3 linked regions of the Yarrowia lipolytica genome follow. The protein of the gene in region 3 binds, or shares a complex with, the protein of the main gene of each other region. Links are inferred from orthologs where the notes say so. Each region holds a gene or a part of one and is shown on either strand. Other genes may lie near its edges. The genes, in order: YALI1_F28112g, YALI1_F05624g and YALI1_A17515g.

Region 1 (6,085 bases), on a different chromosome or scaffold from region 3:
TTGGATGCGGAGTTAAGTGTGTGAGTGGTTGGTCAAGTCAATACAGCAGGGGCTTCTCTAGAGGCCAGTTGTGAAGATCCTCGCGAGAAGACGTTTGGGGAAGGGCAGATCTCTGTGTGGTAGCTGCTCTATACGCAGATCCAAGTTCGTAGTCTGGGTTGTTGTCCAGGTCCAGAGTCTGGTTGAGAGGAACCAGGTAGAAGAACCGGCTAACAATGTCTTCCATTTTCATGAGATGAAGCCAATCCTGATGCTCGTCGACACAGTGCTCCAAAACGTCTCTGTAGTACATGTTTGTGAAGCATGCGTCGCACTGGATCACAGTGTATGGGCTGAGCTTGGACACGTTCTTAATCTTGGGCATGTTTCGAAATTATGTGTTGTTGGTTCTCTGACTCGAGGGCATGGTTGGATTATATACGGCATCTGGCATCGCACATGCTATAGTATTTTCCTACACATAGAAATCTGCACCTGTTTGGTTGTCCCCTTTTTCGTTTTTTCTTTTGCACTTATAGCGATACTTATATTATTTACTTCGAATTTCTTAGACTTCACCTGTGGTGGTCGGGGCCGAGGATGCATGTCGGCATAGTCCAGAATGCAGTAGAAATCCGGTTCGGCATTTGGCACCTTCGATATCAGACGGTTCTGATTTATCGAATGTGAACGGTGGAGTACGTAGTTGAAACCACGGGAAACGGGAGTATGGCGACAATCCCCCCAAGACGTCGTAGCCGGCTCGAGCTACTGCTGGAATCCCTGACCGGTTTCAATTCAAAACATTCTGTGGAAGGAGACGTGTTCTGTATACACGATACTCTATCCTCCCGTATGGCGTCCACACAAGGAGCTTGCACTGTACAAAATAGGACGTTTTACGCGGGCCGTTTTTCGATGCTGGTGTGCTTTTCGTACCACTCGTTCGCCACCACAGCCAGAGATAAAAATTAGCCACAGTTGTGTGTTTCATTATATATTATTCAGTTAGATATTATGTGGGAAAGCGCCAGGAAGTTGGATCTCATCATGGTCCGATAATTTGATCATTTGCAGGTCCGCAAGCTCAAGCTGCCAGGAACACTCGAGCAACAGCAACACAACAACGTGCGTTGTAAAGTCAAGTCATTGTACAATACTGGTACTGGTTCAGTGAGAGCACAGGATACTCTGACGCAGGCTTTCCCCACGTGCATGGAACCTGGGATACCCCCATGGTGCGTGCGTCGAGACCACTAATCATACTGTCGTGTGAGAACCTTTTCGGTCCACCCCCGTGAAAATATGTACGCAAGCACACTAGAGTCATGTTTCATAATAACCGAGGTGCACAGCTGTGGCAGACTGGAGGTTTTACCACATCTATGCCTCCTTTGGAGGCTCGGCCACGTCTTTTTCCGGCAGCCAGAAAGTAAGCTCTTTATCTGCTGTGGCCAGTTGCATGGAGGCTGGATTGACACCAAGAATCTGAGGGGAGGCTGCGTTGGGTGCGCAGTTGAGAGCCTTGGAAGGGTACAGTCGTCCTCGCTCGTCGACTCGGTCCTGCAAGTCCCAGACAATAATCTTGCCGTCTCGCGAGCAGCCAAACACTGTGCGGCCGTCCACAGAGAATGCAGTGTGAGTGGAGCCGCCCCGCATGTTGTCCTGATCGCGTCTTAAGGGGTGGTGGCCAACGAGCTTGTGCGTAAGATTACCCGTGAAAGCATCAATGACGTGGTGCTGCTCTCCGTAAGTCGCCAAGAGAATATACTTTCCGTCGTTGGAGAACTCTACAGAGGCCCATCCGTCTCCAGGGGGAGCAGGAAGAGCAAACGTGGCGAAGGGGTCGGATCCCCATGCAGAAACAGAGTACAAAGACAGGTCCTGGGCCGATGTGTTGGCCACGCCAAAACACAGACCTCGGGGATCAAATGCAATCAGATTCGGGCTCACCAGGTTCAAAACTCCCTGACAGTGGGGCGACCGGAGATCCCATAGCCGCACAGTGTGATCCATTGATGCCGAAAGCAACACATCACTGATAGGAGACACGTTGAGCGCGTGCACCTTGTCCTTGTGGCCTCTAAAGTACCGGATGTACGAATTGTCGTGCAACGACAGATATCGAATTGTGTCATCTTCCTTGGTGGAAGCGTAGACGATGCTCATGCTGTTGTGTGTGAACCGGGCCAAATGCGCGCCATACTTCTTCGAGTAGCTGGATCGCTGGTGAGTGCCCTTGTGAGCCGAATACAGCTGAATGGATTCATCTGTTCCAGCTGTGACGGCGTAGGCTCCAGTGTCATCGAAATCGAGCGATGTGATGGGGTCGTTATGGTGGTACCGGAGCGTTTTGGACGGCTTAAGCGTCTTGTATGTCTCGATACTTGCCGGAACCGATTCCATTTTTTCCCGTTCCTTGGCTTCTCTTCTGCCGTAAGATGCGTAGTTTGTAATGTGACGATCTATTATGCGTTTCGTTTGGTGTATTTTTTAGGTTGACGATGTATTAGGTCACGTGAGTAGAAAATTAGGTTGTCCCACCTCAAGGGGTGTCTGTGATGCCTCAAGTAGAGTGTACAGTAGCGAGGTTAGAGAAGAGAGTGTATATAATTCACACACGGTCACCATACGGATGTTTTAATTACGCATAACAGCAAACATGTGGCGAAACATGTCAAACGGTCAGACAGGCCAAATAGCCAGCTCTGACTGATTGTCATAAACTTTATTTGCCCCATTGTTCCAAATGTTTACTTCACGTACTCTACGCCACTTCAAAAATTCTCTTCCTACTACTATTTCCAGGCATAATGGGCACTGTGAGTAACTCGAAAACTGATTAGGGAGATTGAAATGCTACCACGCTTTCCTCCTGCAATTCATACTTCTCTAGGATGTCTGCTGGTGCCTCTATCAGCACGTGCGACCACCCGCCTCCTCATGCTAACTCAGCTCGGTAGACTCTTCCACTTCTCCTTTGACCTTGTTCTGGTCTCCACCATTCTGGCCGGTGTCAAGCGATCTACTGGTCTCACCATCAAGACCAACGACTTTGAGAACAAGGATACTCGTTCGTACATCGAGCGATACCTCGATGTCGGCGAGTGGGTTTTTGACACCTCCGTGGCCTTCATGTCCACCTCCAGCTACTTTGAACGACGACCCCCGCGATTCTAAGCATTTTACATGCCAGGTGAGTAACTTGTGTGGTGTGGTTTCTATGATGTTTTCTATCTGGTAAAAGGTCCGAGGCTGCAAGGGCGTGCAGATGGCACAAGAGTAGGTCTTTGAACTGAAATGACATCTGTACCCCTACTAGTGCCCTTGCAACACAGCAAATCAAGAGCGTAAGCTCCCACTCTCAATGGAGCTGTTCTCAAAGGTCCATCGGGTCCAGCTGAAAGGCACGAGTGGACATCCCTTCTCACTATCTGTGTCAAGCTGATGAGGGCAGGGTTTCTGAGCGGTCTTATGAGTTGAAGGCGACACCAAGGCTTTACTAATCTAGGGATAAGGGAATGAACAAAAAAAGCAGGGTAATACATGAACATTGAAAGTGGCAAATGGTCAGCAGTACGTAAAAGCTATATGTGAACTATACTGTAGTTCGGTTACTGGGATTGTACTCGAACAAATGGGTGATGTACAAGCTTTCATTGCTCTACTGAGACCAAATGTAGTGATCGTTTTACAAGGTGGAGCAATTGATTCCGTAAGTATGCACATTATCTCGGGCGGAAGCGACATACATATCCTAATCACGGCCCTGAGATGTTCGAGGCTGATACATGTTGTCCTTGAATGTGTGTACATACATACTCTTACTAACGCACAAACTACGATCCAATCACCAACAACAACACTCTATAATATGTACATTGCAAATATATATCCTCCTGACTTGTAATCAGTCGTCACCGTCCACGTCAGAGTAGTCGCACGCTTACTCCATGTGCTCCTCTTCCTCGGGTGCAAGCAGATCCTGCTGCTGCAGCATCTCGGCGAGCTCGCCGCTCTGGCTCATAGACATGACAATGTCACAGCCGCCAATAAACTCCTTGTTGATGTACAGCTGGGGGATAGTGGGCCACTGGGAGAACTCCTTGATGCCCTCACGCAGCTCCTCGTCCTCAAGAACGTTGAAGGCAGCAAACTTCTGGGGGTCGACGCCCTGGTGGCCAAGCACCTGGATGGTGGCTCGAGAGAAACCGCATTGGGGGAACTCGGGTGTGCCCTTCATGAAGAGAACCACGGGAGCAGTGCCAATGGCGGTCTCAATGGCATCCTTGGTCTCGGTGGAGATAAATCGTCGCATGGAGGGGGCGATTCGGAAAGCGGGGGCCCGCATAGCGGGGGTAGCGGCTCGGAGAGCAAAGATGGATCGCTGCATAAAGGCCATTGTATATTGTGTGTGTGTGTTGTGTGAGTGGTTAAGATGTTCCAATAATCTGGTCTTGATTTGCTTTAGATAGTTGCACTGGAGAATGAAGATGCGGAGCTTACCCGGCCTGAGGTGCGTCGATGCGGTATCTGGGTTATCCCAAACTCTGCAATTGTACGGAGTTCTATTGGTCTAGCTGTGATTAGTAATAGAAAGGGGTTACTATTTATTGAGACAATGGTTCATTATCAACTACTTGTAGGGAGTACTTGGAAATATATTCCCTTCATTTGCGACGTCGCAATTAAAACAGCGTGAATTTACCTATTTGCCATTTGCCATACCAAGGCACGTGACCTGCTGGGCCTACGGAGGAGAGTAGAGTATGGAAGACTACGAGTAGCTAAGGGGTAATGAGGTGTACGAGCACAAGTATCTGTTTGGTGATTACTCGTATAACTGACTACAGTACACAGCCAGGGGCCATGTTCGGATCCTGATCACCTGTAGAACATCTCATGCTATGGGTGGATCTAAAAATGAGTGGAGTCATGTGTGTCTTTCAAAAGTAGTTTAATCAAAGGGGTGGATCCAAACCTCCTACCTTGTGTATATCCAAAAGCTGCTCCAATCACTATAGTCGTACCGGAATTTATAAAAAGAATTTCGGATGCGTTGATTGCGCGCCGGGTCCTCCGAGCTTCCGATTCCCGTAGCAGCGAGGAAGCTACAGCATGTTTTATATTTATATCCCAGTCTCCGTCGGTCCAAGGTGAGTTTACTATCTGAGTTCAGCCGTGGATGAGGCGGATGAGTATGGTTGATAGAGTGAATGTACGATACTGGGGTGAGTGTCGTTCGAATCCACTTGTAATCACTTGTAATCAATTTCAACCACTCACGGAAGTATGTCCGGCATCTGAAAACGCCACAATTTCATCTGAAAGGAATGGTGGGGCAGTCCTTGTGTCCGAGGAAAAGATGATGGAGGTCTAGACTGAGCTCAGAGAAATATAGCTACAGTAGAGGTACCGCAATTTAGCATCTACACTTTACATTATGAGACTCAGCACAACTGTCTTCAATAGTAGTGGAAAGGCAAGCTCTTAATCTCAACCATCCGAATGCATTTCAATTACTTGTATCGGAGCAAAAGCCGAGCTCCGATATCGCTGTACTGTAGTGGGTCTACTGCATAACCTGTCTTATCGTAGGAAGCCGGCTTTCCGGGGTAAAGTTTGCCGACGCTGCAGAGAACGGGTGTAGCCAATCTAGGCGACGAGAAAAAAGATAATGAGGCGGCAGAGAATGGGGCGAGAAGGCGGCATATCTCGACCGAATCGGACTGGCGCGCAAGTCAAATAGGTAATATTAGGCGCCCGGTGTCGCCAGTATGTATGGTATTAGTCCTTAGACACGGTCAACTAGTGAAGCTTTGAGCTGGTATACAGTAATTTAGCAGTTGGCCCGCGGATGGGTAATTACAAGTGAACAATCTCTAGTGACGGAAGAAATCATCAGTACATCCGGCATAGAATGTGGCATGCAGAGACAAATTGGCAGGCTACAGACAGTATAGACATGGAACAAGCAAGCTCGAACAAACGGTATGACGTCTTGTTTACTCATTCTCTTGCTCGTATCTGCCTTTCTTCTCCTAGCTACGAGTACGCGTGCTTGTTTTTCTTTTTCGCTGCCACCTGCATGGGGTCCGCAATACCG
Region 2 (8,180 bases), on a different chromosome or scaffold from region 3:
CTCTACATGGTTGGTGGTGATGACGTCAGTCTGAATAGGGGTCCAGTTTGAGCTGAAGTGGGTCGTCGATTTTGATTTTCAAAGTCTTTCTAGAAACATCTTAATCCCGAGAGTATTTTGGCGCCATTATTTCCCCGATATCTCGCGTTCTGACCGCCTATGATTGACTCTTGTCACCCCTCCCACCCCCACCACGCCTTGTTATCATCATGACGTCACCCGTACGCACAAGGGTTCCCCGCAACGGTCTAAACAATGTCACGGAATCCAAATGCTAATACAAGAATGTGCGAGCATCTACGAGCATCTACGAGCATCGCACTGGATTGCACTTTGGGGCCATTGACGTCTCCAGCTCGTATCGCTTCTTTGGCGGTACATGTGTCGGCTTTTGACCCGGCGTTTGCTGCCAAGCCGGCCAAAAAGTAACGTGAAAGAAAAGGAAAAACGGTACGGTTCTTGAATCAAAGGAATGCAGGACTGAAACAGACGTGATGGAATGCGGGGTGAAGAAGTGAGTACATGTTGGAGTAGAGGCTGGTGTGTGGGTTGGACGTGTACAAGTAGGTACAGAACAGTGCTATAATTGCTGGACATACAGCACTCGTCTGTAGCCCATTTGTTCTAGTCTGGCGGCGTTAGCCAGTAGTCCCGCATGACGTACTCTGGATGTCGAACTGGAACCGTCAAGTCCGCAGTGTCGATAGTCGGAGCTATCTTTATACAATCTTGTACACGCCGTCCTAATACCCCTACTTGTAGATCTACCCTCCACTCTAGCTCTACTGTTATGAGCAATGTCTCATAGAAGACAGTCAGAGGACACACTTTTGATTACTGTCTCACAAGTTGGATTTCCATCATTGAGAAGATTGCAAGAGGCAAATATGGTCTCAATACCTACTATCTGCTGTCAATACCCACTGAGTGCACTTATAATCTCTGCAGAGGCTGTGAGACTTGTTATGAGGCGTCAGTAGAAGTGGAAAACTCTAGTTGGGAGAATTACTTGGTAATAGTTGAGTAAAAAAGTGTGCTGGGGGTCCTTATCAGTCGAACCAGACAAGCAAATACAAAACAGACTACATCAGTTGATTTGAAAGAAGTACTTTACCTATTAAAAACCCAGTTACAGAAATACTTACTGCTCTTCTGGTGTGATATATTCATTCTTTGGTTGCTTCTCAAGTAAATCCAGTTGAACTTATACTTAAGTTTGTCTAACCCACTAGTTATGGATGTCCGTTCTCTAATGCACTCATAACTCGCTCAATATCAGAACCAGCGAAAACCAAGAAGGTCTGAAAAGATTCAAAGAGTCAGGGGAACAATTTTGGTACCATTTTCGTCCATTTTCTTCTCGAGATTTTTGTTCCAAAGAAAGGTCTTGTCGTGAAAGAACTCACTAAAAGAGATTTAGATCCATCCCTTGGCTGGTCCGGTGATGTGGGGAAGGGTTAAACTGGACTGGCCGGTTAGTCTGAGAGGTGGGACTGAGGAGATTGGTCCGAGGGGTTTTGCAGAGACTGGTGGCAGTCCTGTTTCTTTGCATCATCTACGAACGCTTCATATTACAGTCTGTATATTGGGTACATCAAACTCGATACTATTTACTCCTCCTCCTTGACTTTCTCCTCCGCCTTGACTTTCTCTTCATCTTCTGCCTTCACCTCCCCATTCTCTTCCCTATCCTTGACATTCTCAATGGCCTTGAAACCTTCAACCAGGTCCACGGCCGACAGCTTCTGAGCCAGAGGAGCGACGAGCGAAATGGCCCGATCGACAGCCACCTGGACTCTCTGAACAAGAGGAGGAGGTGAGCCGGTCACAGACAAATCAGAGAAGGAAATCGTGGCTTCCATGGCGTCGATCTTGATGTTGGCCGACTTGCCATCCTCAGAAACAATGTACGAGTCTCCAAACTGAGCTTTCAGAATCGAAGACAGCTGCAGAACTCGTTCGTCGAGAGAGGAGTTTGAGTGGCCGTCTTCATGGCCATGAGAATGGGCACATTGCTTGGAAGACATCTTCACCGACGCTCTGGAGTTGTCCACTGTCAGCAAAATGGCCAGAACAGCGTCGGCAATGGAGTCGTTGAGACAGGAACCCACCCATTCAATGGTGCAACTTGTGGGAGTGTGTTTCACTGTGACCGAGTTCATCACGACGAATGTGGTTCCCGCAGAAGTGTCGGAATCACCCTCAACCTCTTGTTTGAACTCCTCCGCAACCTCCTCCTCCTTCTTGACCTCCTCCGCGGTCTCATCCTTGACTTCACCCTCCATGGTCACATCTTCTACCTCCTGTTTCACCTCCTTGTCCTCCTCCTCCTCAGCCACGTCGTCCTCCATCTCCTCAATCTTAACGTTCTCCGTCTCTCTCATTTCCACGTATCCAAACATCTGTTCGAGATGGTACTTGACCAGATCCACTCCTGCGTTGACCGTCACAGTCTGTCGCTCCAGAACGGAAGAGGTTGACAGTCCAACGTGTTCTCTCAGGTCAGCAACGCCCATGAGTCCGTAATTGAAGTCTTTCTGCACAACCACTCCAGAAATTATTTGACCAACATGCGGCTTTTCCTCGGCCATTTTGCCAACCGTCTTGGCCACCTTCACGCCCTTGAACGCGAGCTCGACTTCTTCGCAATTTCGAGGATTGTAAATGGTCTTCTCTCTAGGACTGTTCTTCAGGCCTCGATACTTGGCCAAAAGAGCAGCCTTGAGACGCTGCATGTTGTTGAGCTCACCGTGGACCAGAATGATGTTTTTGGAATCCACGAGATCGATGAACTCAGAGTTTTGCTGGAAATCCACGTGGGCAGCAAACGAGAGCTCCTCCACCGCCAAACGTCGCGGAACCTTCAGGTCCGGATTCTGAGCTGAGGGGATCTCATTAGGCTCGTTGATAATCTGTTTCGCCATAGTTCCTTCAACCGAGTAACCCGTCAAAATGAGCGTGTTTTTCGGGTCAGGTGCCCATCTCTCCAACAGAGACCTCGAAACACCGCTCTGCAACATTCCAGGAGACGCCACCATCACACAGGGACCCATGTCGTCGAAACGGTCCAAATTCTTTATGTTTTTGATATACTTGAACCGGAACGGGTTTGTTTTCTGGTCTCGGAAACGTCTTCTGATGTTGTCGTTCATCATGTTGATGTAAGTCTGGTAAACAGCGATACACTTTTTGGCCAGAGCAGAGGCGTAGTAGATGGAGAACTCCTGGAGGTCAGGGTGGGCTTCCCAGTACTCATCGAGAATGAGAAGAATCTCCTGGGCTCGTCCAAGAGCAAATACTGGTAACAAACACTTTCCGCCCTTGTCTAGTGTGCTGTGAATCAGTCCCGTCAGTCTCTGCTCACGTTCTAGACGCGGCAAGTGAGTTCCGGTGCCGTATGTGCTTTCACAAATGAGAATGTCTGGTTTCATGGGCGGCACCTCGGCCTGGTTCAAGTGACGGTCCTCTTCTCGAGAGTAATCGCCGGTGAACAGCACCTTGACGCCACCGACTTCTATCGTGTACATGGCTGCTCCGAGCACGTGACCGGCATGGTACGCTGTGAACTTGACTCCGTTAACCTCCATGGTGGAGTGGTAGTCGATGGTTTCAATTTTGTTGAACGAGGCGGTGAGGTCGGCCTCCGAGTAGAGATCTGGGTCCGATTCGGCTCCAGAGGTGACTCGCACAAAATCGGACAAGAGCCATCTGTAAATACCCTTGGTGGGATGGGTCATGAATACCCGGCCCTTGAAGTTGGTCTTCTGCATCACATAAGGGAGAGAAGCAGCGTGGTCCAGGTGGAAATGTGAAATGAGAAGAATGTCAATGGTTGAGAGATCGAACTCGTCGTAGAAAGGCAGGGAGGCGAGGCCGGAATGGGCAGGATGCACGCCGGCATCGAGCATGATAGTCTTGCCTTTGAACGAGATGACGTGACATGATCGGCCAACTTCTCGGCCACCTCCGAGCGCCACGAATGAAAATGTGTCGGAGTCGTCGGTCTGGGTTAGCGGGAACTGAAAAGAGGAGCCGTGAGTCTGGCCCTGACAAATATTTGATATATCGTAGACAAATGAGATCCCAAAGAGCCGTAGTCGGATTCAGCACTGGCAATTCAGTCAGTACCAACAGAAGAAATCTTGAGCGATCAATAACTTGACAGTGGCTACTGCAGATTTGGTGGTCGCCTGTGGATTGCTGTAGGCAGAACGTCTAGTCTGACATGCTGACAATTATCGACAAGATGTAGGGGATTTTTAGGCGACTTGACAATGACAATAACGCAGAAGTGGTGAATTGGGCGGTCAGCATGGAAGAGTACTAGACACACCCTCATACGGGGGAGCAACCGCTGGGAGATGGGTCAGTCTAACAGAGAAGAAAACGCCGCAGTATTGTGAACAGAGAGCACGGAACTGCTTTTCACGAGTGTAGGGGGGATCGTGGCTATTCAAGTGACACAGACTGAATGGTACAAACAACCAAGAACCATAAAATCGCCACACAAACAGCCTCGGCGTCTCAGTACATGAGCTGACCTTTCTGAGCACGAGGTCTGCCCACGAGTAGAAAGTGGCCCGCGAGTAGCAAGTGACTCACAAGTAGAAAGTTGCCCACGAGTAGAAAGTGACCCACGAGTAGAAAGTGACCCACTCTGAAGCACATGATCTGCCCACTCCACCGCGCCATCCTCCACCTGCTATCGTCTACACCTGGACGGTACTGCACGTTAAGTCACCATACCTCCGTCCCCATGAGACAGGCTGTAGTCAGTGTCAGACTGCAGATCACATGATTGGTCACGTGACCTGGTCCCCTGCCGCTCTCTCTCTCTCTCTCTCTCTCTCTCTCTCTCTCTCTCTCTCTCCTCTCTCTCCTTCTCTCTCTCTCTCTCTCTCTCTCTCTCTCTCTGCCAGTCCATCCATCCATTCATCGCTAGTCATCCACTCAAGTCTACGGCGGCGGCCTGTACCGCCATTTCCTCCGTCCGTGGTCATATCTCTCTGCGAATTGTCGCATTTCGTCGCGCTGGGCTCCACGTGGTTGGCTCCAACCGTCCAACCATCACGTGACTTCAAATACTCACCTGCGATTCGCGTTTTTCAGCCATGATCCGAGTTTCAACTGGTTGTTCTGTTTGGTGGTTACACACTGTTTTCGAAATGTTCACAACTTAATGTAGTCTCGCAGATGAACTTTATTTGGCTGGAGGAGACAGGACAGATGGGGGCCCAAAAGGGATTATAGAGATTTTTCAGAGATGGGGAATTGTCTGTGGGTTTATTATAGCCCTGTTTTGATCTGTTTTATGTTTTTCGGTTTCTTATTTGGTCAACTTCCAACAGTTAATGTTTTATAGCTATATCTCTGCCAATAATAAACATAATAGTCCCCTAATTGCACCATTGTCTTCTTGAGATTCCCAGGAGTAATTTGATACCAAAATTGTTTATGAAGAATTTCAATCACCAACATTTAGATCCCTCATTCATCTGAACTCAGCACGAAATAGATCGACCCGACGCAACGCAACATCACCATAATTAAAAACTTGGGCAAGGTAATTTCCGAGCCGCACGGCTAGGGGTGGTGTTTCGAACTCGCTGAAAAAAGGACCAATATGAACGACTTTAGAATCAGCGTGTACTCCAGGGCCGCTGAATCTTTTCAGTCCAAAAAACCCACCTGTTGTGATAATAAATTCTCCATTTCTGGACACCCCAACATGTTTGACGGAGGACATTCGCCGTTATAAGATGATATACGTGATTTATCACATTGATGGCTCGCTCCACAACACTCTACAGTACCCATCCAATCCAAATAATTCAACTATACACAATATTAATGCTCTGTGAGTTCCTCTTCACAGATTTCTCTAGCAGGGAGGAAACAAAAGACTGTCTCACACAGTGGGGCACATTGCCCAAAGACAGCGCTGCGCTCCTCGTGCTAGCTCACCAAGACTCGTTACTCGTCTTGGCCGTCTAGGCTCTTTGCTTAGATGCCGAGACCCATACTTCTCGCCATGGCCTTCATCTGAGGATTGTTCTGTACCATGTTCATCATCTGGCCCATGTCAGGCATTCCTCCAGGGAACATGCCCTGCAGAGCACTCATGTCAGGCATACCACCTCCCATACCGGGCATTCCACCCATTCCGGGCATACCGCCCATTCCAGGCATTCCTCCCATGCCGGGCATTCCTCCGGCTCCTCCGCCCATCATCTGCTGGGCCCGTCTTTGAGCTGCAGCCATCTGGGCAGGGTTGTTCTGGGCGTTCTGCATTCGTGACATCATGCCGTTCTTGCCGCCCATTCGCGACGCCATGGAGGCCATCATCTTCTGCTGCTGAAGCACCTCCTCGACTTCCCGGATGGAGGTTCCCGAGCCCCGGGCAACTCGTGTGATACGAGAAGGCACCTCCTTGAAAATGGATCCATCCGAATCCAGCTCCTTCTGGTTCATAGAGTCGAGAATGTAGATCATTCGCTTGATTCGACGGGTACCCTCTTCGTCGGAAATGGAAGACGCCATGCCCGAGAGTCCCGGAATCATGCCAGCAATGGAGGACAACGATCCCATCTTGAGCATGTTGCCCATCTGGTCTCTGAGATCCGCCAGTGTGAAAATACCCTCCTGAATGTGCTCCATGGTTTTCTTCTGGTCGAGATTCAGACTCTGCATCGTCTCCATGAGACCTTGGAGGTCGCCGATACCGAGCAGCTTGGAAATGAACTGCTTGGGCGAAAACGCCTCGAGATCGTGAATGTGCTCTCCGGTACCAATGAAAATGATGGGGGTGTTTGTGGCTGCCACCGCAGAAATAGCTCCTCCACCCTTGGCGTGTCCGTCCATCTTGGTGAGGATGATGGAACCAAAGTCGGAGGCGTCCTTGAAGGCACGTGACTGGGGCTCGGCGGCCTGGCCAATGGAGGCGTCGAGCACCATGATTGTCGAGTCCGGTTTCACAGCAGCGCCAATATCCACCATTTCCGTAAACAGTTCGCTTTCCTGTCGATGTCGTCCGGAGGTGTCGACGATGATGATTTCAAACTTCTCCTTCTTGAACTTGGCTACTCCCTCGGCTGCCACCGCCACGGGGTCTGTTTCTGTGTACGAGCCAAAGAAGGGGATCTTGGCCTTGGTGGCGTTCTGTTTGAGCTGGTCAAACGCTCCAGCTCGGAAGGTATCGGCACACACCAATCCCACCTTGAAGCCTCGCCGCTGGTAGTAGACAGCCAGCTTGGTACATGACGTGGTCTTTCCGGATCCCTGCAGACCCACAAACATGACCACATTGGACTTGCCCTTCTGCGGCTTGAACTTGGCGGCAGAAGCAGCGCTCTCGTCCACCCCAACCAGATTGACCAGCTCGTCAAACAACGCCTTTTGGATCACCTTCTTCTTGGAGGCACCGTTGGGCGTCGCCTTAACACTGTTCTTGACCTTTTGTCGAAGCTGTGAAACCAGCTTGATGTTCACATCGGACTCTAGAAGAGCCGAACATACCTCCTTGAGCATCGCATCCAGCGCCTCGTCAATATCGCCGCCCTTCGACAGGTTGGCAAACGCGCCGTTGATTCGTTTTCCGAGGTCTTCAAGAACCATCTTTAACGACTTGTACTTGTTCTGATCGTGACCACTGTAGTAGTGACGTAGATGCAGTAGGCGGGTCTGGGTGATCCGGTAGGGTAACTCGATAGAGTTTGACATAACCGATAACGTGAGATGTTGGTATATGGGGTCGACCCGTTGTTGGGAGATCACGTGATCCTCGAGGGGGTTTACGGGTGATATGTTTTTTGGCCGGTATTTTTTTTGTTTTTACCGGTATTTTGTGTTTTTTACCGGTATTTTGTGTTTTTTATCGGAATTTTCCATTTTTCAGATTTTTCCATTTTAAATTTCACCTCATATTCAACGCGCGTTTTATCACACTGTGACGGATTTTGTCACGTAGAAATGCATTTTATTTACACCATTTAATTCCCCAACTTTCGCTCTATCCAATGGTATACATATCTCAGCTGTCTCGGATATATAGCATCTTCTGAAGACCCTCCCCAGGTTCTCCTCTACTTGTAGTTGAAGTCGTCGCAATGGCAACTACTTACATGGGACGATGAGAACACCCACAGACAGGCTGGATTCAGATGATTTTGCAAGCAGTGCGG
Region 3 (6,765 bases):
AAAAAAGAAATGACGACCAGAGTCGAAAATACGAATAAAACGAATAAGTCGAATTTGCTACGAATAAAACGAAGAAGTCGACTTTGCTACGAATAAATCAAATGACTCGAATTTGCTACGAATAAATCGAATTTGCTACGAATAAATCACACAATATACCGTGTCTACGGGTACTTGTCTCGTAGAGAAAGCTGAGAAAATCCTGAAAATCGGGACACAACATTTCCTGTACTTATTTTGAGACGTTTTTTTTATATTTAATTTTTCAAAGTATTGATAGACTCACCTCAAGTATCGTACTTGAATCTTCAAGTATCAGTGGGCTGATAATTGAGCCCAGTATGGGAAGCCAGAATGTCAAAAAATGGCATTGTACTTCTCAAAAAAAAACACAAAAACTAATAATCAGATCACGACTTCTCAATTTGCTGGGGAAAATCCAAGTACTTGTCACAGTTACAGTACCACCATAGCCTTGTCTCGATATCCATCTCTAACACCCCACAAAACTTAACCCCAGACATACATGAGAAACACCAACATGCTCAACCAACGGCTGTCGATAGATGGAAACAATTGCACAGTACGGTACGTGGGAACCGACGTGCCCGTGTGGCCCGACGAAGAAGCGATCGGCGTGGAGTGGGACGATCCAGCTCGCGGCAAAAACAACGGATCAGTCAAGGGTACACAACTGTTCGAATGCACCCAACTGGGAGCCGGATCGTTCCTGAAAAGTGCGTCGTTGGCCAAAAAGCAGGTCCGCTATGGCACATCGTTTGTGGAGGCTGTGGTTGAGCGATACGCGTCGGAATCACGAGTGGACGAGATCAAGATTGGTACGAAAATGAGCCAGGTGTTGGGGTTCGATAACAAGGGTCTGGAGAATCTGACGAGCATAAATCTGGCCAACAAGGGCGTTTCAGAGGCCCATGAAACTGATAGTCTGCCTCTGGCTCGCGTGGTGCATCTTGATCTGTCCTTCAATCTCTTTACATCGTTCGAAACGGTGCTCCAATGTCTCCAGACAACACCCCATGTCGAGTGGATGTCTTTGAACGGAAACAGATTCAGAGTGGATGCTGAAGGTACTCCGAACTCATTGTTTCCCTCTCTTACCTCTTTGTCATTGACCAACACCTTGCTGTCTGAGAAGGAAGTACTGCTAATCATCAAACACTTCCCTAACCTCACTCATCTGGTTTTGGCCCATAACAAGACCATCAAGTCGATCGATTTGCGGGATACCCGTCTGCAGTTTCTCGATCTGTCTTACAACAATCTGCATGACCTCTCACACTTCCACTTCCCCCCTTCTTTGACGTCCTTGAACCTGTCTCAGAACAGGTTGGAGAACGTGACTGCGGAGACTCTACCCCGTTCAGACTCCCTCACAGAGCTCGATGTGTCCTACAACACCCTTCAGTGGTCCGATTTCGATCAGCTATGCATTATTTATCCGTCCTTGACATCCCTACGGATCAACGACAACCCGTTCACCAAAGAAGACTTTTCCACAAACAATCTTTCTGTGTCGCCTATCGACTCGCAGATCATTGCGCGATGGCACAAGAAGCTGAGTACGCTCAATGGCCGGTTTGTGGCCGACCAGGAACGCTCGGACAGTCTCATCTACTTTGTCAACTCGGTCATACAAGGCAAGATTGACTACCCACGAGACAAGGGGGCTAACAAGACCCATTTCGACGCTCTGGTAGCGTCGCTGGGCATTTCACAGGCCCACGCAACTCCCAGGGTGACTGAAAACTTTCCTACTGCCCGTCAGGCGTTTGTGAAGGTCACGTATACCACTCGTGTCGACCGTGGAACGAGTACGACGACCCAGAGACTCAACAAACACAGCTCTGTGCAAAAGATGAAGTTTGGCGTGCTAAGAAACAAGGGTTTTTCGCCTCTGCATTCCTGCACCATTGTCATTGACGATATTGAGGTGTATGACGAGCTCAAGACGTTGGATTTCTACGGAGTCACGGATTCTACAAAGGTTGACGTTTTAATTCAGTGATTAGTATGCGACGTCGCCCTATAACTAACACATACTGTACAGCGTCCAAATATATCGGTATACGTCTCGAATGGTTAACAGTGCGAATAAATGTAATAAGTATTTTGTTGCTGGTGCCCGTACAGTACCAACGAGTTTTGCTGCGGTGTCCACACCAACAAGTTTTGTCACTCGATATCAACCTCGTCCCCTAAGTTCCCAATCTACTCATGGTAAGACCACAGACCGTCGCCCAGATAATGCAAAAGTTCCACTCCAATGCCGTTGTTGACCTCCTCAATCTCCTTGGTGGACATGGTCAGCTTGCCCACCGCCAGCGCGTGCTCCTTGCCCTCGGCGTTGACAATCACAATTTGGTCCTTCTCCATGGGCTCGTCGGGCAGCTCTGCGCCCTTGGATGTGAGGCCTCGGCACATGATGTTTGCGCCAGAGAGCACAAACTTGATGGCGCCTCGATCTGTCTTTATCGAGGGGAAGTACTGGGGGAACTGGTGGACCAGGTGTAGCGAGGGGACCAGCTCGTCGTCAAAGTGCTGGAAAAACATGACTTTACCGTCGATGGTGTACAGAGAAATCCGGTCCTGGCACTTGACGTGGACCAGCTGGGCCTTTTTGGGGATAATCTGGTCGACAACAGGCTCCATATCGGGGAATTGCGCCACGAGCTTGGCCTTGAGAGCCCGCTGCGACGACGACTTGACGTTGGCCTTGGAGTTGATGTTTTCGTGAGAGAATTTCTTGAACATGGCGTGTGTTTGAAGATCCAGACAACCGATGATGGATGTTGGCACCAGATGATGGAACATGCAGATTTGGTGCACAAGGTTTTGCCGCGCTGAGTCAGCGGACGTCTGAGCCCCTCTCTCAGAATCTGGAAAATCGCATGTAAGGACCAAGTCGCTTACTAAGGGCTTGGGACGGTGCCGGTCACGTGCAAGGGTGACTGTTGTTCCCACCTGGGACGCACCCGGAGGATGGGAGTATAAGAAGGACATTTATGTATGATTAAGAAGACAAGTTATCACCAGCCTGTGAACGTATTACAGACAGCGAGCAACGGTTAGATTAGACAGCGACAATCTACCGACTGAGAACTATTCCGCAGATAAGAGACGATCGGATCTTACATCGCATAAATCCGATATAGTGTAGGGGTTATCACTTCCGCCTTTCACGCGGAGAACCCGGGTTCGATTCCCGGTATCGGAGGTTCTTTTTTGGTCTCGAAAGGGACCGTGGCCGATTTTTTGGAATAATGAGGATACTGGAGTGGATATTTTGTGGTCGGGATTTTTACGAGTAAAAATACGGGAAATTTGGAGCGATTCCAGGCGGTTCGTTTGCTTTGTCGAGATATCTGCCATATGTCGAGTCTATAAGTATGCAGATTAAGAGGTGCAAGAGGTGAATGATTGAGTATTTAAACGGAATTAGTAAGCCCGAAAAGTTGACATGACATATGCCGAAAAGACACACGAGACACATGTCATCCGATTCTGGGCCTCTCCATCGCCGTACCATTCCAATATCTGTTCACATTTTCTCAGGATTTTTTTATGCACCGTTTTATGCACCACAACTTACTCAGTTCATTGTCACGATCACCATGTACAGCACCTATCAGCGACCAGCAGGGTACCAGCCGCGCCAGCAGCCGCAGGGCGAGGAAGATCGACGACCTGCGCACAGACGGACCGTTGACCATGGCTCGGCGTTCGGCAAGTGGCATTTGGACCGGCTGAGTGGGCGCACGATCCAACCGGCCAACATGCGATCGGAACAGTCGTATATCGTCGATCTGCTGCCTCCGTCGGCCTACACCAACATCAACGGGTCGCTGCGGTCGACCAACCCGCACATTACGTCCGTGGCGGCCACTCCGGCCAAGTTCATCCAGGTGGCTCTCAACAAAGTGCGGCACCCGGTGTACTCAGCCACCTGGACGCCTGATGGACGACGACTCCTCACAGGCTCCATGTCCGGCGAGTTCACGCTGTGGAACGGTATGACGTTCAATTTCGAGTCAATCATGCAGGCGCACGAGAGCGGAGTTCGATCGCTCAAGTACTCGCACTCTGGAGAATGGCTCTTGTCTGGAGACCATGAAGGCAACGTCAAGTTCTGGCAGCCATCGCTCAACTGTGTTAACGTGATCGACAAGGCCCACCGTGAGTCGATCAGAGAGCTGGCGTTTGCGCCCAGTGACCACAAGTTTGTCACCGGATCGGACGACGGTCTGCTCAAGATCTGGGACTTCCACGAGAGCAGTAACGCCGAGTCGGTGCTCAAGGGCCACGGCTGGGACGTCAAGTCGGTCGATTGGCACTCGGAGCTGGGCCTCATTGTGTCTGGATCGAAAGACAACCTCATCAAGCTGTGGGACCCTCGATCCGCCAAAAACGTCAACACTTTCCACGGCTTCAAAAACACCGTCATGAAAACCACCTTCCAGCCCACTGGTACCAAACGGCTTCTGGCTGCAGGATGCCGGGACCGAACATGCCGAATTCTCGATCTGAGAATGCTCAACTCGGGCTCGTCGGAAGCAGGACCAACAGCAGGAACAGACATGCCCACCAGAGGAGATCGGTCCATGGCCGTGCTTCGAGGGCACGATTCGGACGTGTTTTCGCTCACATGGCACCCCACACACGCCAACGTGGTCACCTCGGGCACCAAAACAGGCTCCATCTACACCTTCAACGTCGACACAACTCCCGCCGGAGGAGCGTATGGACCGGACTCGGGAATTCTGCCTGTTAACACCATCCCCTCGGCCCACGACTACTGCGTTTCTACTTTGGACTACCACCCCGAAGGCCACGTGCTTTGTTCGGGAGGTCTCGACCGAATGACTCGTTTCTGGGCACGACCTCGGCCCGGAGACCCCACCTCCTTCAGAGACAAGTACTACGAACCCAAGGAGGAAGGCGTCTCAGTCAAGACGCTGCCCGGAGTCAACAATGCCACCAGCCGGGCCGGCATGGCTCGTGTCGAGCACGTGTCTACTCAGCATTTCAACACTGCCCAGCCCGAGGTGACCGATGACGAGCCGGTCTCCATTCCGGGTTTTGCTAGATAGTCGGAAAGAGGGACGTGATAAGAAGCATACGACACCATAACACGTGACACAATGGACAGGCGATACAACAGCACCGAGCATCTGATATGATGGGATATGATGGGGGCACTAAACACAGTGGGACGTGACTCAATTGCCCACGCGCAATCACTCAAGTGAAAGTCCTCTGTCTGGCATGGTCACAATTAGCATAAGGCAAGAAAGACCGTCCATGCAAAGTCATCTCTTGTCTAGTACTGTCTACCAATGGTATGATAAGACTTGTTTTTCATTTAATTAATGAATTGTATGTTACTCTACACTCTTGTATATACTACATGCTATGTAGAAGGCCACACCATCGCCGATTCAGAGAAGGATAATATAATGACTATTAGTCGTACAAACAATGCCAATCGAATAAGAAAGCCTCTATAGAACCGACTGGTGGCTCTTTTCTATCAATTGCTATATCAATATTGGAGACAGGTAGATGCGACTATAGTGGAAATCGTAGTTGGTATTAACAGAACCCAAGTACATACGGTACTGTAGTTGAAAGCTATCAATTGGAAGATATGGACGGGTTTCTAGAGCTCATGAAATTGAGAAAACGGCCTCTCATTTCTATATTTCTATACTTGTTCACTATTCCTTTGACCAGGTAGATGACAACAGTCTAAACTGGACTATATCGTGAAAAAAACCAAAAGACTACATCACAATACTTTTATTACAACTAATATACACATCCCCCTTCTCTCAGAATCCGTCCTTCTCGAATTGGTCGCCTTTCATCAACTCCTTGATGCGTGCAACATATGCGTCGAACAAAGGATTTTGGACCACATCCACAATGTGGTTCTCCATAGCTTGCGTGTCAGTCAGCCATTCGGGGTCCTCGGTCTGTGTTCCTCTGCTGACCATCCCATTCCCGCTCCGAACGTCTGTATCTGCAGGGGTAAAGTGCTTCTTCCACGACTTGGCTCTTTTCGGAGAGTTGGGGGGCGAGCTGACAGGAGAAGCCCCCAAAGAAGGCATATCGTCAACGGTGCGTTTCCACGTAGAAGTCTCAGAGAATCTCCTTGGCTGCGACAATGGGGTTGGCTTCACCGGCAGATAGGACTGCGACGACGATGGTGCTAGCCTCGCAGACCGAGAGTGCTTGAATTGGTATGGGGGAGATGCTTGCGACGAACTGGGGGGATCAACAAAAGTCTGGCTCATAACTGGAGGCTCAGTAGCTGGACCAGGAGGTTGGGTGGGAGAGAGGGTTTGAGACTGGAGAAAGGGATCAATCTGGGTGAGGTCGCCATCATCATCTTCTCCGTTCCACTGAGACTCTGGGTTGAAGTTTTTGAAGGAGGTCAGGGTGGCACCTTCAGTCCTGGTAGACTTGGGAGGGCTACCCTTGATACACACTCCCGCCTTTGATAGCATTTCCACTGCCCGGTCGTATTCGTCCATGTACGCGAATTTGATTTGAAAGCGATAAGTCTTGGTTAGCTGGAAAAGGATATCTCAGGGTATCATGTTAGGGTATTGCTGCGTTGGCGTTGAAGGTATCAATAATATTGTAATGTGGACAACCACTTGCGTCGCTCATTCGTAACCGACTCGTGGAACACTCACCATGGTATGGAATCTCCTCACCAAGTACTTGAAACCAATCCCTGGC

What was found.
Region 1: YALI1_A17515g (region 3) and YALI1_F28112g share a complex: the UniProt entries of both Saccharomyces cerevisiae proteins name them as parts of the cleavage and polyadenylation factor (CPF) complex. The link is inferred for Yarrowia lipolytica from reciprocal best matches to the Saccharomyces cerevisiae genes PFS2 and SWD2.
Region 2: YALI1_A17515g (region 3) and YALI1_F05624g share a complex: the UniProt entries of both Saccharomyces cerevisiae proteins name them as parts of the cleavage and polyadenylation factor (CPF) complex. The link is inferred for Yarrowia lipolytica from reciprocal best matches to the Saccharomyces cerevisiae genes PFS2 and YSH1.

The regions. Positions count from the first base shown.
Region 1 is NC_090775.1:2,807,528-2,813,612, reverse strand, and holds YALI1_F28112g (uncharacterized protein), read right to left. Parts: upstream 2,386-6,085; coding exon 1,363-2,385; downstream 1-1,362. Other genes in the region: YALI1_F28132g (uncharacterized protein), read right to left, coding at 38-364; YALI1_F28123g (uncharacterized protein), read right to left, coding at 988-1,083, 1,163-1,309; YALI1_F28107g (uncharacterized protein), read left to right, coding at 2,836-3,159; YALI1_F28092g (uncharacterized protein), read right to left, coding at 3,926-4,381. UniProt on the Saccharomyces cerevisiae protein: The COMPASS (Set1C) complex specifically mono-, di- and trimethylates histone H3 to form H3K4me1/2/3, which subsequently plays a role in telomere length maintenance and transcription elongation regulation. Involved in mediating RNA polymerase II termination.
Region 2 is NC_090775.1:558,458-566,637, forward strand, and holds YALI1_F05624g (uncharacterized protein), read right to left. Parts: upstream 4,693-8,180; coding exon 4,603-4,692; intron 4,005-4,602; coding exon 1,611-4,004; downstream 1-1,610. Other genes in the region: YALI1_F05661g (uncharacterized protein), read right to left, coding at 6,004-7,719. UniProt on the Saccharomyces cerevisiae protein: Component of the cleavage and polyadenylation factor (CPF) complex, which plays a key role in polyadenylation-dependent pre-mRNA 3'-end formation and cooperates with cleavage factors including the CFIA complex and NAB4/CFIB. Has endonuclease activity.
Region 3 is NC_090770.1:1,748,086-1,754,850, forward strand, and holds YALI1_A17515g (uncharacterized protein), read left to right. Parts: upstream 1-3,485; coding exon 3,486-5,108; downstream 5,109-6,765. Other genes in the region: YALI1_A17486g (uncharacterized protein), read left to right, coding at 527-2,026; YALI1_A17511g (uncharacterized protein), read right to left, coding at 2,230-3,021; YALI1_A17546g (uncharacterized protein), read right to left, coding at 5,850-6,554; YALI1_A17551g (uncharacterized protein), read right to left, coding at 6,690-6,765. UniProt on the Saccharomyces cerevisiae protein: Integral and essential component of the cleavage and polyadenylation factor (CPF) complex, which plays a key role in polyadenylation-dependent pre-mRNA 3'-end formation and cooperates with cleavage factors including the CFIA complex and NAB4/CFIB.